Linked DNA regions of Schizosaccharomyces pombe. The protein of the gene in region 2 binds, or shares a complex with, the protein of the main gene of each other region. Each region holds a gene or a part of one and is shown on either strand. Other genes may lie near its edges.

Region 1 (3,484 bases), 1.3 Mb from region 2:
CTTCTTTTTGACTCAATGCTAATATATGACACAGGTAATTTTCGCCATTATTCTCCCTCCCTTGGGCGTTTTCTTGGAACGTGGCTGTGGTGCTGACGTTATTATCAACATTCTTCTTTGTTGTCTTGGTTACGTTCCCGGTATTATTCACGCTCTCTATATCATCTTAAAATACTAAGCATCCCTCTATTTCAATCCTCTAATATTTGTTCTTTTCGCTACTTATCATGTTTATAAAGGAAAGTGAAATAGACATGTGTATTCTTTGCTTCTTCTCTTGTCTGTTCTAGGAATTTATTATTCGCTTCATTTAATACCAAATGTTGTGAGGATATCATGGCTTTTGTATTAGTAAACAAAAAAACGGATTTTCTTTACTAAGAAAAAAGTTCAAAATAGTATCACGGTTGTTTGCACTCATTTTTTTTTCCTTTCCCAAAATCGACTGTGCTTAACCATGATATCTTTTTTTATCCATAATTGGGCGAATGATTTTACCGTATACTTTTTGCTATAGCCCAATAGTCTTCTTGTTTTACATAAAAGAATGTTTTATCATTTGCTCAACTGGAACTTATATTCTTTAAATATATTAGTTTAACGGTTCTTTTTTTTGTGTCTTATTCATTATTTGTAACCAAAATGTATTTCAATAGTAGTGTGTAATGATTGATATCTGGGAATAGATTAGATTATTGATCTCTTCATGGTGCCCGCAGCCCAGTCTAACTTTAAGGATTGGCCAGCGACAGTTAAAAGTCGAAAAGTAAGTTTTGGCTTAACCTCAGGCTCTCGTTTGAAGTCAATCCATATCAATGTACATCTCTCATCACATTGACAATATATGGCTCTGGTTTAACGGCATTGAGGGTATGTGGATAGCTAGACTAGTGTTAATTTTCCTTTTATCATAGTACAGGGCATATTCAAAAAAATATGAGGATATCAACCTCCTCACATTTCTTCAACTATTCGTAAACAAAAATATATCCCATTGCTTCTTTTTTTCTTAAAAAAAAAAAAAAGATAGATTCCATTTTACATTAAATTAAGGTAGACGTGTCGGTAAATACGTAGCAATAGCTAGCAACCCAAAATCAAAGAAAGTTTTAAGGTGAACTGGTTGGTTTCGCTGGGGATTGTTCTTGTATTTTTTGATCCAGTTCACTTTTCAATTTTTCATGAGCTCGGAACACTTTGCTCTGGAGGTAAAAAGATCCTCCTTTTTTAGGATCATTAATCTCAAACATTTTTTGAAATCGTTTTTCTAACTCTCCTTCTTCTAATGATTCTGGCTTAATGTTTAAAATGCTACCAGCTTCTTGAATAGTCATTTCACCTCGACGAACAGCAGTTGATGATTTGGAAGCAGCAGCTTGACCAGTACTTTGTTGAGCTGCATTAGCAATCATTTGCTTATAAGCTTGTACAAAAGCTTTGCTCATTACTAATATTGTTAGGGTTTTTAATCTTTTGAATAAATCCTTGATAGGAGAATGGCCACAAACATACCTTGCGAACCAACAATTATAAATCGACCGACAGCCCTTGGAAGCGACATTTTTTAATGTAATATAGTAATTTTGAACAAATAATTATGATAAATGTCTTCCTTTATTTTATTTTCAGACATACACATGCCCTAAACAGGAATTTTCACAAATTTTCTTGTAAAAAGGGTGGTGGTAAAAATTCCTTATAAGGCAGATTTCATATCAAAGAATCTAATACTACTTCCAAATTACAACCTTGATTTAATAATAAGAAGCATAAAGTTCACTATTTTAGACAAAAAAATATTAATATATTATGAATTTGCTTTATATTCTTTACTTTGTTTTACTACTCGTCACAATTCAAAGATCATGTAAACTGATTGTAAATTCAAATCATCTTATTCATTAGGGCTTCTTATACTCGCTGAAACAGTATGGTAATGGAGCTTAAACATAGTGACTTAATAATAAATATCATATTAAAGCTTTAACTTCATACTGAAAAAGGAATGCCGTGAGCACCGGGAAATCCAGTCAATGTCAAGTCAATTGAAACGTTATCGATTACCTCAAAGTTAGTAGGATCTGGAAAAAGTTTCTCGGTCACGGAGCCAGGCTGTTCAAAATGCATCGCTTCAAGTTCCTTCAGCCTTCTTTGACATTCCGCAAACTCAACCATCGCTAGTTTATAACGTTCAACAGCTTCTTCCAAAAGTTGCTTTTCTAAAGCAATGTCCGAAACCTTTTTTTCCAATGAGTTGATCAACTCCTTTTGTTCATGAGTTTGGTTAGCAGTTTTAGAGCCTTCAGAGCTTTGTTCTTTATTTTGCTTTATCGCGGATTTTTCACGCTCCTCAAACTCCTTGAAACGATTATTGAAATTCTCGTTAGCTTCACTGAGTTTCGTGGCACGTTCATTTAAACTTTTCTCATGTTCTTCAACCTTTAATAGACGATTTTCAAGGTCCTTTTCACGTTTTTTAAGATCATCTTCTTTTCCATTCATCTTCAGTTCTCTTTTATTAATCTCATTCTCTCTGATTAACAGTTTTGACTGGAATTCCTCAAGAGCGGCTTCTCTTTTGGATACGAGTGTCTGCTTTCCTTCACTGTCATCCGCATTAGCTTTTAATGTTTCATAATCATAAGTTAAGTCGTTAATGCGTTCTTTTAATTCTTTGATTTTCTTATCCTTTTGTTCATTAAGATCATGCAGGGTTTTTACTTGTTTTTCTAGTTCATCTTTTTCTTGACTGCTTGTACTTCGAGAAGTGACCTCTGTTTCAACGTTCTTTTTTATTTCACCATCAGGCTTGGCTGCTTTATCCTCACTTTCTATTACCGCTAAATCCTCCTTCTCAGGCTTCTCCGCAACCGACTCATCTACAGAATTTTTAACGACATTTTCAGATGTTTCCGGAGACTGAGTAGAAGCATCGCCGGTGGATGCCTCAGCACCTTCAGCTGAAACTACATTCGAAGCAGAAATATCCTCAGTGTTTTCAACTACTTGAGTATTGTCATTGCCTGTAGGCTCATTTACTTGATTATTGCCATCATTAGATTCGCGGTCAACATTATCTTCGGCAACTGAATTTTTAGATTTAGCTTGGCGTTTTTTCTTCTTGACCTCCAGCAACTAGCACTCGTAAGTTAAATGTTACAAAATATTATGCATACCCTTTGTTTAGCTGCAGCTAGCTTTTCTTCACGATCTGACATCTTCAAATTTGATACAAGATGAAAATAAATCAACAGGGAGTTGTAGTGTGGGCAGAATCAGTAAAGTATAGGTAAGTAGGGAAAGTTTGCGTGAGGCTTAACAAGTCCACGGATAACCAAGCATACTAAATAAAGTAGAAACATAAATATAATATATATTTGATGAATGAAAAACTTAAAAAAATGGATTCATATTTTTTATACGCTAGAGAGTATAGGTATATTTTATTACGCTGATTCGGTTTGAAAATGAAGGAAGATACTCT
Region 2 (4,396 bases):
TTGTTCTTGAGGGGTCTTTTTCTTTTTAGAAGACTTTTTTTTCTTTTTTTTCTTCTTTTCTCCATTGCTGGCTCCTTCTTCAGCGGCATCATTTTCCTCTACTTTTCCATCATCTTCAACCACGTCGTTCTCTTTCAGCGAAAGCTTCTCCTGTAAATCTTTAGCGGTAGCTTCAGTAGTTGTCGCAGAAGTCATTGTTTAAGATTGTTAAATCCTGTCTAAACAAATCTGATATAGGAGGAAGTTGAGTATATGTACCTCCACAGGTTACAACAGTGCTACCACCAAAAACCAGTAGTCATGGCAACCTATGCCTCAATTTTAGGAGATTATAATATACAAACAAAAGGATTGAGATTTACTTAATTAAAGGTTTAAAAAGGGATAATGAGTCGGATATCAAGCAACAAGTATCCATTTTAATTTTAAAACCAACCGTTTATTAATTTATGAAAGGTCAAATTCTCTACATCTATTTGTTAATATAAATGTTCCAAATTTTTCCCAATTTAAAATATTTCTTGCACTATTTAATCCAAAACTATTGGAAATATTATAAAACATGTTAAAGTGATTATGATATTGAGCTAAAAAATGCACGCGTCCTAAAATACGATTGTTGAAAAAGTATTAAACACGCGTATCCTTTAAGAAAAAGATAGCAAAACCTCAATTCTTAAACCCATCCCGCAAAACCCGAGTTAAATAAAAGATTTTAAATTAATAAAATCTTCTACTACATTAAAGACTTTTCAAAGTAGACAAACGAAAAATGTGATAAAAAAAAGAATGACAAGCTTAGACTTGTCATCAAAAAGAAACAAAAAAAAAAAGAAGATCGATCATTAGGGAATATCAGCGGTCTTCTTAAGTAGATGATGGTGGACATAGTCCAGGAAATCCAAGAGTTATTTCCAAACTTGACAAAACTTTTGAAATATTAAATAGTAATTAATCATATGAGTGACAGAGAAATATAACCCAAACGAAATATGCTATGCAGGAAGAAAAAATCTGATTCCAAAAAAAATGTTTACATGTTAAAATTAGAAGCCGATAGAAAGACAAATGTTTGGAATATTTTCGCATTTAGAAATAATCAACGGCTCGTGCACGTGCGAAATCAACGATACGCCAACCTCTTGTCTCCGGATTATCAAGCTCGTCTTCTACACGTGTAAAGACAGAAGCATAAGTACATTGTTGAATACGATCATCCTTTCCTGCAACTAATTCGCCACTGCTAGCATCTTTAAACATATGGACCTCTTGAGTACGAAAAGTGACGATAAAAACGGGAATATCATTTGGCTGTAAAAGTCTTTGAGACATGATGTCGACGCCACGAATGTCAAGGATTTTACCAACACTAACAACTCCATGTTTCGCATATTCCTTGGTAGTAGTTTCATATACGGAAAAGGGGGCTTCCGAAAGCCAAGTCTTCAACACTTCTTTGTCTCCTTTAACATATGCCTCGGTAACTTCCGGGACAATATATTCTCTTAAATATTGAAGGAAATGCTCGGTATTAAAGGATGGGTCAATCTCTTTAAAGCGTCGCATAACCTGCGATGCTTCAGTTTCTGAAAACATTCGAGACCAAACGCCACTAATACTGTCGGCCATGTCACGAATGGAGGAGACAATAGGATGTTCAGACTCCTGATAACTTTTTTTAAGCTCTTGAATTTTACGAACTAAACGCGATTCGTTTTTTATTTGCTCAACCTTATTCTTCCACGACGGGTTGCTATGTACGACGACGCTTTGGACGTCTTCGTTAGGCTGAATCCTTGCCGAGCTAGCAAACATTCTGTTTCGACGTTCAAATTCTTCACGCAATTTTTTACGTTGTTCCTTGTCAGCATAAAATCCATAACGTGAAGAGGTGCTACCATCAGACATTGTTTGCTTAATTGTTTTATAAAATGCAGTTTCACGTACGGGTTTTGTGGCAGTGTCAACACCAGTAGCTACAGTATTAGCGGTGCTTGAAATGACCTTTTTTGATAATTGTACAGGAGCACTTTCCCAAGCTTTTTGGGCATATGAGCCAATCTTGGCACCAGCTTTGCCAACAGTTTTTCCTGTGAAAGATGAAGCTGCAGTAGTTCCCGAGCGCGCTTTTTCGTAAGCATCTCTCGCTTTTTTGAAAGTGTCGCTTTCACTTAATGATCCTGAACTATCTTGCAATGCTTTGACACTGTCCTGTAATTCCTGGCTCTTCTTTAATTCTGCTCTAAATGTATCCATGAACACCTTGATTGGCGATTGAGGTGCTGCATTTTGAGAGAATATAGACGTTTGGAAAAACCGCTGGCATTGAACTATTGTGCGGGCATTTTTTGTGATTTTTCTTGATAGAAACATTTTCTTTCCTATTGAATAAATAAATCTCAACGCTATTACGCGAAAATTAATCCACTTTGCTGCCTTTTATTGCAAACCGATATAGCAGCCTAGTGAGTGGTGGATGGAAGGTTCAAGTGCCACAAAGGTGGAAAGATACCTTAATCCTAAATATCGAGAAGTAGTCTTTTGTTAACAAAAGTTAGCATATTCTCTTATATTTGGACTTTTTTACTTTACTAAGAGGAGTTTACGATTAGAATTTTTACGAATTCGCTCATTTTATCTGAAATGCAACTATTAAAATATTGATATAGAGGGAAGCATAAATTACGCATGATCCTAATATATTAAAGAATAAGAGTACCGATCAATTTCCTTTCGTATTGGTTGAAACAGTCGTAGCTGTTGCTTACAATATTGTTGGGAATCGATACCATGTGGGTGGTAAGAGATCGTATGAAGTTATGAAAAAAAGTATTCAATAAGCAGCATAGATATATTACAATGCGTTATATAGAACTGGATAATTTGAGTATGTAGCGGGTTTTGGAGATAAAAGCAATAGTATTAATTAGCATTTTGAAGTTTCGTTTATTCATTTGTAGAGATTTTTCAAATCTAGAAAAATTTAAAGATCTCTTAATTTTGTATCTTTTTTTTTTTTTTTATCAGTTTGATAGAATGTTTGTATGTAATTCTTTCTAATAACATGCGACGTTTGTTGTGCCCCTAAGTTTCTTTGATGAAATTTATTTGAAAATAAGGAAGTAGCTGGTTTATACAGAATTCAAAAGGCGCATTTAAGTTGTAGTAAACCTCGAATTTTTCTGATGATTAATGTGTTTCATGATTTTTTATGAAAACAGTTGTTGAAGCTCCTATATTATTTATCACAGGTTGTAAATTTTCAGCTTCAATAACGAAATGGGATACTTAAAGTCATAACTGATCAATTTTGGCAGACAGATCTAGCTTTAAAAGCTTAGATTCATTCAACATCAAGTTTATACGAAATGATCAGTTGTAATACACTTCCAACTTTTCTGATAATGATTCAGAATGATTACAACATAGTATAGTTGGAATGTAAAATTATTTGTTTCATGAAGAACTGGTTTTCCATCTTGAACACTAGACGATAAAAGCAACCTGAATATCATAAATCATCTTCAATCCAATTAAGCAATTCAAAAACAAAACAAAACAATTTATTATGCATTTGTAAAAGTAAAAATTTAAAAGGTGATCATATTTCTTCAAATTATCGCTTTGTTTACTATTTTAAATTGTGCAGGTCACAATTGAATGTCACCTGTGAAATAATAAACCAGCCTTGGACTATAGACAACGATGTTGCCAAGAACCATGTTTTCATATGGAAAAGAAAACGCTTTTCCTGTAACTCCCATATCAAACAGAAATGGTACAAAAGGAGCGGGCTCCAAAAGAGCACCATTGGGGTCTACAAAGCAGTCGAATGCACCTTCTTCTGTAACGGTTCCTAGAACGGTACTGGGAGGTAAGAGTACTAACATTTCCAAATTTATTTCTGCTCCCAGTACAAAGAAAATGTCTCCTATGGATATTTCGATGGATTCCCCTACTATTTTGGAGCCAAACTCACAAGGAATTTCCCGATCAGCCGTACAAGAGCGGTCGAAGCGACTTTCGGCTAGCCCTCGTCGTTCCTCTTTAACAGACACTCCTTTACCAAATGAACTTGAAGAAGATATCGAATATATGCCTCCTCCTGTTCATTTGGACCCCATTCAATCCCTGGGGTTTGACGACGTTGCAATTGATTGTGAAACGCTCGATCCTTGGCCTAGCATGCAGAATAAGGCTACCTCAGTAACTATTCGTAATACACCTGCATCAGATTTCCATGTTTACAAGGAGTTCAGTGATGATGATCCTATACAATTTCCTCTGCTCAGCGTAGACGGTGACTCCCCGTTAACAGAAAAGGATACTAACCTGACAACACCCGCTACCTTGAAAGCTTCTGATCAACAAAGAAAGGTTCTCGAAAAGCCTTCTG
Region 3 (3,667 bases), 1.8 Mb from region 2:
GCAAAACGTGTTGCCAAGCAACACTTATTGTGTAAGGGTAAATTTTACACCACGTTCGAGTAGTATGCAAGGCACCATTTCTTGATCTAAATAAAGACGTAAACCCTTGCGGTAGTGTATCGCTAAGAAGTGAGTTTATTTAGTAATAGTGTAATTACTGAGCTGGAAAAAATGAATATATCTCTCGAATATGCAATTCTGACGATATCAGTGCTGGATTAAAAACTATTCATTGACTAGATTCTTAATAAAGTTAAAAGCAACGGGATCACCCACAAACGATCTCATGCTTATCATTTGTAACTTTGAATATCTATCTATTAGATTAGGCTGATTGAGTAATGTCTTATACTATGGCTTAGTTCGAACAGGCTAGCTGCTTCCAATCAATACTTTATTAGCAAGTTTGTTATTACATATCTATTTTATAAAAAACAAAAAAATCATCTAAACTAGTCAAAATTCCTTACTAATTTGTAATACAGAACACTAGCTTAACTTCTACGAATACTTGAAAAGGAGGCTTAACCGTTAAAGCACATATCAACTTTCGGAACTTTAATATTCTATAAAACTAAATGATAGAATACATACCTTCCACTTGGTTCCACTTTTAACTCTTAAAGAAATGCTTTTGAGTAATCTTTAGAAGGAAATATCAAAATTCTTTAACCAGTTTGGGTGAAAGCTATAGTATTAAAGAGTAAAAATTTTATTTATAAATGTAAGTAAAAATAGGTACTATGTTGTGATAGCAAATCACTAAACAATAAACCCAAACCACACAAAAACATTGGATTCAAGTCCCCTCGGTAAAAATATAATAATGTACCCATAGCCCAAAAAATGCAATGAAACTTTTTACGATCTGTCTTTGACTATTAGTTTGCAGAAAAAAGCATCTGCACAGAAAGACTTCTGGTTCCCCTGAAAAGACTGAAAAAATCCAATAATACCACAAAGGACTTTCCAGACAAACATTGAGAGTTTAAAAATAAAAAAAAACCCCGAATTGGTCATTAAAATAATATAGGTGAAACGACGTATTCGTATGCTCCTTGCTATCATCTTTGACTAGCTCCTCTAGTCGTCTCCCTTAACAACACCAACCTTGGCAGGACGAATAACTCTTCCATTCAATTGAAAACCCTTGCTTTCGCAATGGAAGACAGTGTTGGGCTTTTTACCTTCAACAGGGATTTGGAAAACAGCTTCATGGATGTTAGGATCAAAATCTTCTCCGATACCGTCATAGCGAACTAAACCATATTTTCCTAAGGTTTTCATTAAGTTCGATTCAGTCATTGCTAAACCTTCATAAAGATCAACTAAATCCTTGTTGGACTCACGATTGTTACGCTTCTCCTCTGGAACAATTGAAAGAGCACGCTCCAAATTATCGACAGAATCCAAAAGATCCTTAGTAAGCTTTTGAACAGCAAATGCACGTGTTTGCTCCATGTCTCTCTTCATGCGGTTTTCCAAATTACGATAGTCAGCTAAGCTTTGGCGAATGCTACCCTTTAACTCCGCAACCTCTTTGTCCTTTGCTTCATATTTACTTTTAAGCTCAGAAAGCTTAGATTGAAGTTCCTTAACATCAACATTCTCTGTTTCGGCAACTTTTTCTTCAGCAGGCTTTTCTTCCTTAGCAGCCTCAGTTGAGTACCAAAGGAAACTGCGTTTATTAATGGGTGCTCGAATAAGCGTCCGAGGACGTACAGCGGATGAAAATACTCTTCCAAGCCCAAGCATTGTTTCAGTGAGAGCTTTGTGGTAAAAGACAACTGTGTCACACTATAGACAAATGGTGTTGTGAACTTAGCACTGTTAAATTTTACAAATATCAATTTCATCAACTTAAAAATTCGTTATGTTTCGTTAAATGAGGTATGGACTTTGAGATGGAAGCTGATTCAAAAAATATATAAATGACACTTTTTTCTCAAATTAAAGCTTCTATTTCGATATGTAACAAATTGATTGTAGGTTTGAACATGCATGTAGGAAAGCAACCCAAATTTCGAATTTGCTCAACACTGGAAGCCAACAACGGCTCATATGCTTATCAATTATTAATTTATTCTTTTCAGCTTCATTCTCAACAGATAATAATTAACTGATTTCTCATCTATATTTATATCCTTCTTGGTATGCTTTACGGCATTGGATTATATCGAAGTACTTACTTCGCAGCCTTTGAAAGTAAAATAATTGAATATTATAATTTAAGTTTTAAAATAATCCTATTTGTGTCATCTGGGCCATCTTATTATTTTTACATTCATCAGTTTATTTGCATAATGATATTTGTTGAACAATTTATGGGAGTCGAATTTTCACAAATTCCTATTATAATAATATCATATTCTTAATTACAGAAGTCTTCATAATAAAAGGTACCTTAGTTAAGTGTCAGATATGTCTTATCGGTATTGGACCTTACACTTTCATCCACCATCACTACTTAAACTCAGGAATACATTTGAGGATTGTAGAGGCAGAGCCATAGCTTTCTGTTAAATATTTATCTAAGCTTTGTGAAAATTTACGATTCAACCACTGAACACTTTTAATCGCCTACTAGTCCAGAAGTTGCGCTTTCAAGTAGCACCATACTCTCCTATTTTCCTGCTTGGACGTTTACCTAGATTTTCTAAATACTTATCTCTCTAAATCATGTCTTCACAATCATATCGAGAACGGACACTTGTTTCTGTAATTGGAGACGATGATACCGTTACTGGGATGCTTTTAGCTGGAACTGGTCAGGTAAATGAAAACGGTGACAAAAACTTTTTTATAATTACTCAGAGTAAGATTATCTGTTAAAAAATGGAATCGTGTTTTCGCTAACTTGCTGTTTTATGTAGAGACTACAGATGAGCAGATTGCTGAAGCTTTTGATGATTATACTACGAAAAGGAAGGATATTGCGATTGTATTGATTAACCAGTTTGCCGCTGAAAGAATACGTGATCGTATTGAAAACCATGTGCAGGCATTCCCTGCTGTATTGGAAATTCCTAGCAAAGACGATCCTTATGATCCTGAAAAGGACAGTATCCTCCGTCGTGTTAGAAAGATCATTGGAGAATAGACTATTAATATTTAATTATATTTTTTGAGCAATAATTTCAATTAGTCAACAACTCGATCGATTTGACTGATGACACTTTTATATTTGTATCTTTTGGTTTACTTACTGGCATACTAGCAAAAAATTGTAAGCAGAGTTTTTGTTAAACTATATTTGATAAATAGAAAAGTGATTATAAGAGAAATGTATTATTTTAAGTATAAATCTCATTCAACATCAAAACTGACATTACAACCACAAGAAGTCTTGGCACGTGGATTGTTTAAAAGTTGAAAAGAGGAACCAATAAGTTCATTTGTATACTCAATTTCAGAGCCACTTATCAAAGGTAATGAAATGTTGTCAGCAACAACCCTGGCTTTTCCACGCACAAATACCCTAGATATTTAGTCAATAACCAGGAAATACTTAATTAAAACTTATAGTCTTCTTAACCACATCACTTACGTGTCAGCATTTCCAATTTTGTTGTCCATGCGAAAAGATACTTGATATCCATGGCATCCACCACCATCGACAGTGACGCGCAAAACAGAGTTTTCTTCTGGTTTCCTTTCTGCAATTTTT

What was found. The genes of interacting proteins can lie anywhere in the genome.
Region 1: tim44 (region 2) and tim16 share a complex: the UniProt entries of both Schizosaccharomyces pombe proteins name them as parts of the PAM complex.
Region 3: tim44 (region 2) and mge1 share a complex: the UniProt entries of both Schizosaccharomyces pombe proteins name them as parts of the PAM complex.

What each region holds. Positions count from the first base shown.
Region 1 is NC_003423.3:884,693-888,176, reverse strand, and holds tim16 (TIM23 translocase complex subunit Tim16), read right to left. Parts: upstream 1,685-3,484; 5' UTR 1,562-1,684; coding exon 1,513-1,561; exon of another isoform or gene 1,448-1,512; coding exon 1,110-1,447; 3' UTR 530-1,109; downstream 1-529. Other genes in the region: plasma membrane proteolipid Pmp3, read left to right, coding at 35-178; SPOM_SPBC713.09 (uncharacterized protein), read right to left, coding at 1,990-3,135, 3,177-3,218. UniProt on the Schizosaccharomyces pombe protein: Essential component of the PAM complex, a complex required for the translocation of transit peptide-containing proteins from the inner membrane into the mitochondrial matrix in an ATP-dependent manner.
Region 2 is NC_003423.3:2,203,531-2,207,926, reverse strand, and holds tim44 (TIM23 translocase complex subunit Tim44), read right to left. Parts: upstream 2,465-4,396; 5' UTR 2,374-2,464; coding exon 1,090-2,373; 3' UTR 554-1,089; downstream 1-553. Other genes in the region: methionine aminopeptidase Fma2, read right to left, coding at 1-195; securin cut2, read left to right, coding at 3,721-4,396. UniProt on the Schizosaccharomyces pombe protein: Essential component of the PAM complex, a complex required for the translocation of transit peptide-containing proteins from the inner membrane into the mitochondrial matrix in an ATP-dependent manner.
Region 3 is NC_003423.3:4,020,635-4,024,301, reverse strand, and holds mge1 (GrpE domain-containing chaperone mge1), read right to left. Parts: upstream 1,786-3,667; 5' UTR 1,756-1,785; coding exon 1,084-1,755; 3' UTR 530-1,083; downstream 1-529. Other genes in the region: vma7 (V-type ATPase V1 subunit F), read left to right, coding at 2,680-2,815, 2,874-3,100; Fe-sulfur protein Isa2, read right to left, coding at 3,307-3,478, 3,548-3,667. UniProt on the Schizosaccharomyces pombe protein: Essential component of the PAM complex, a complex required for the translocation of transit peptide-containing proteins from the inner membrane into the mitochondrial matrix in an ATP-dependent manner.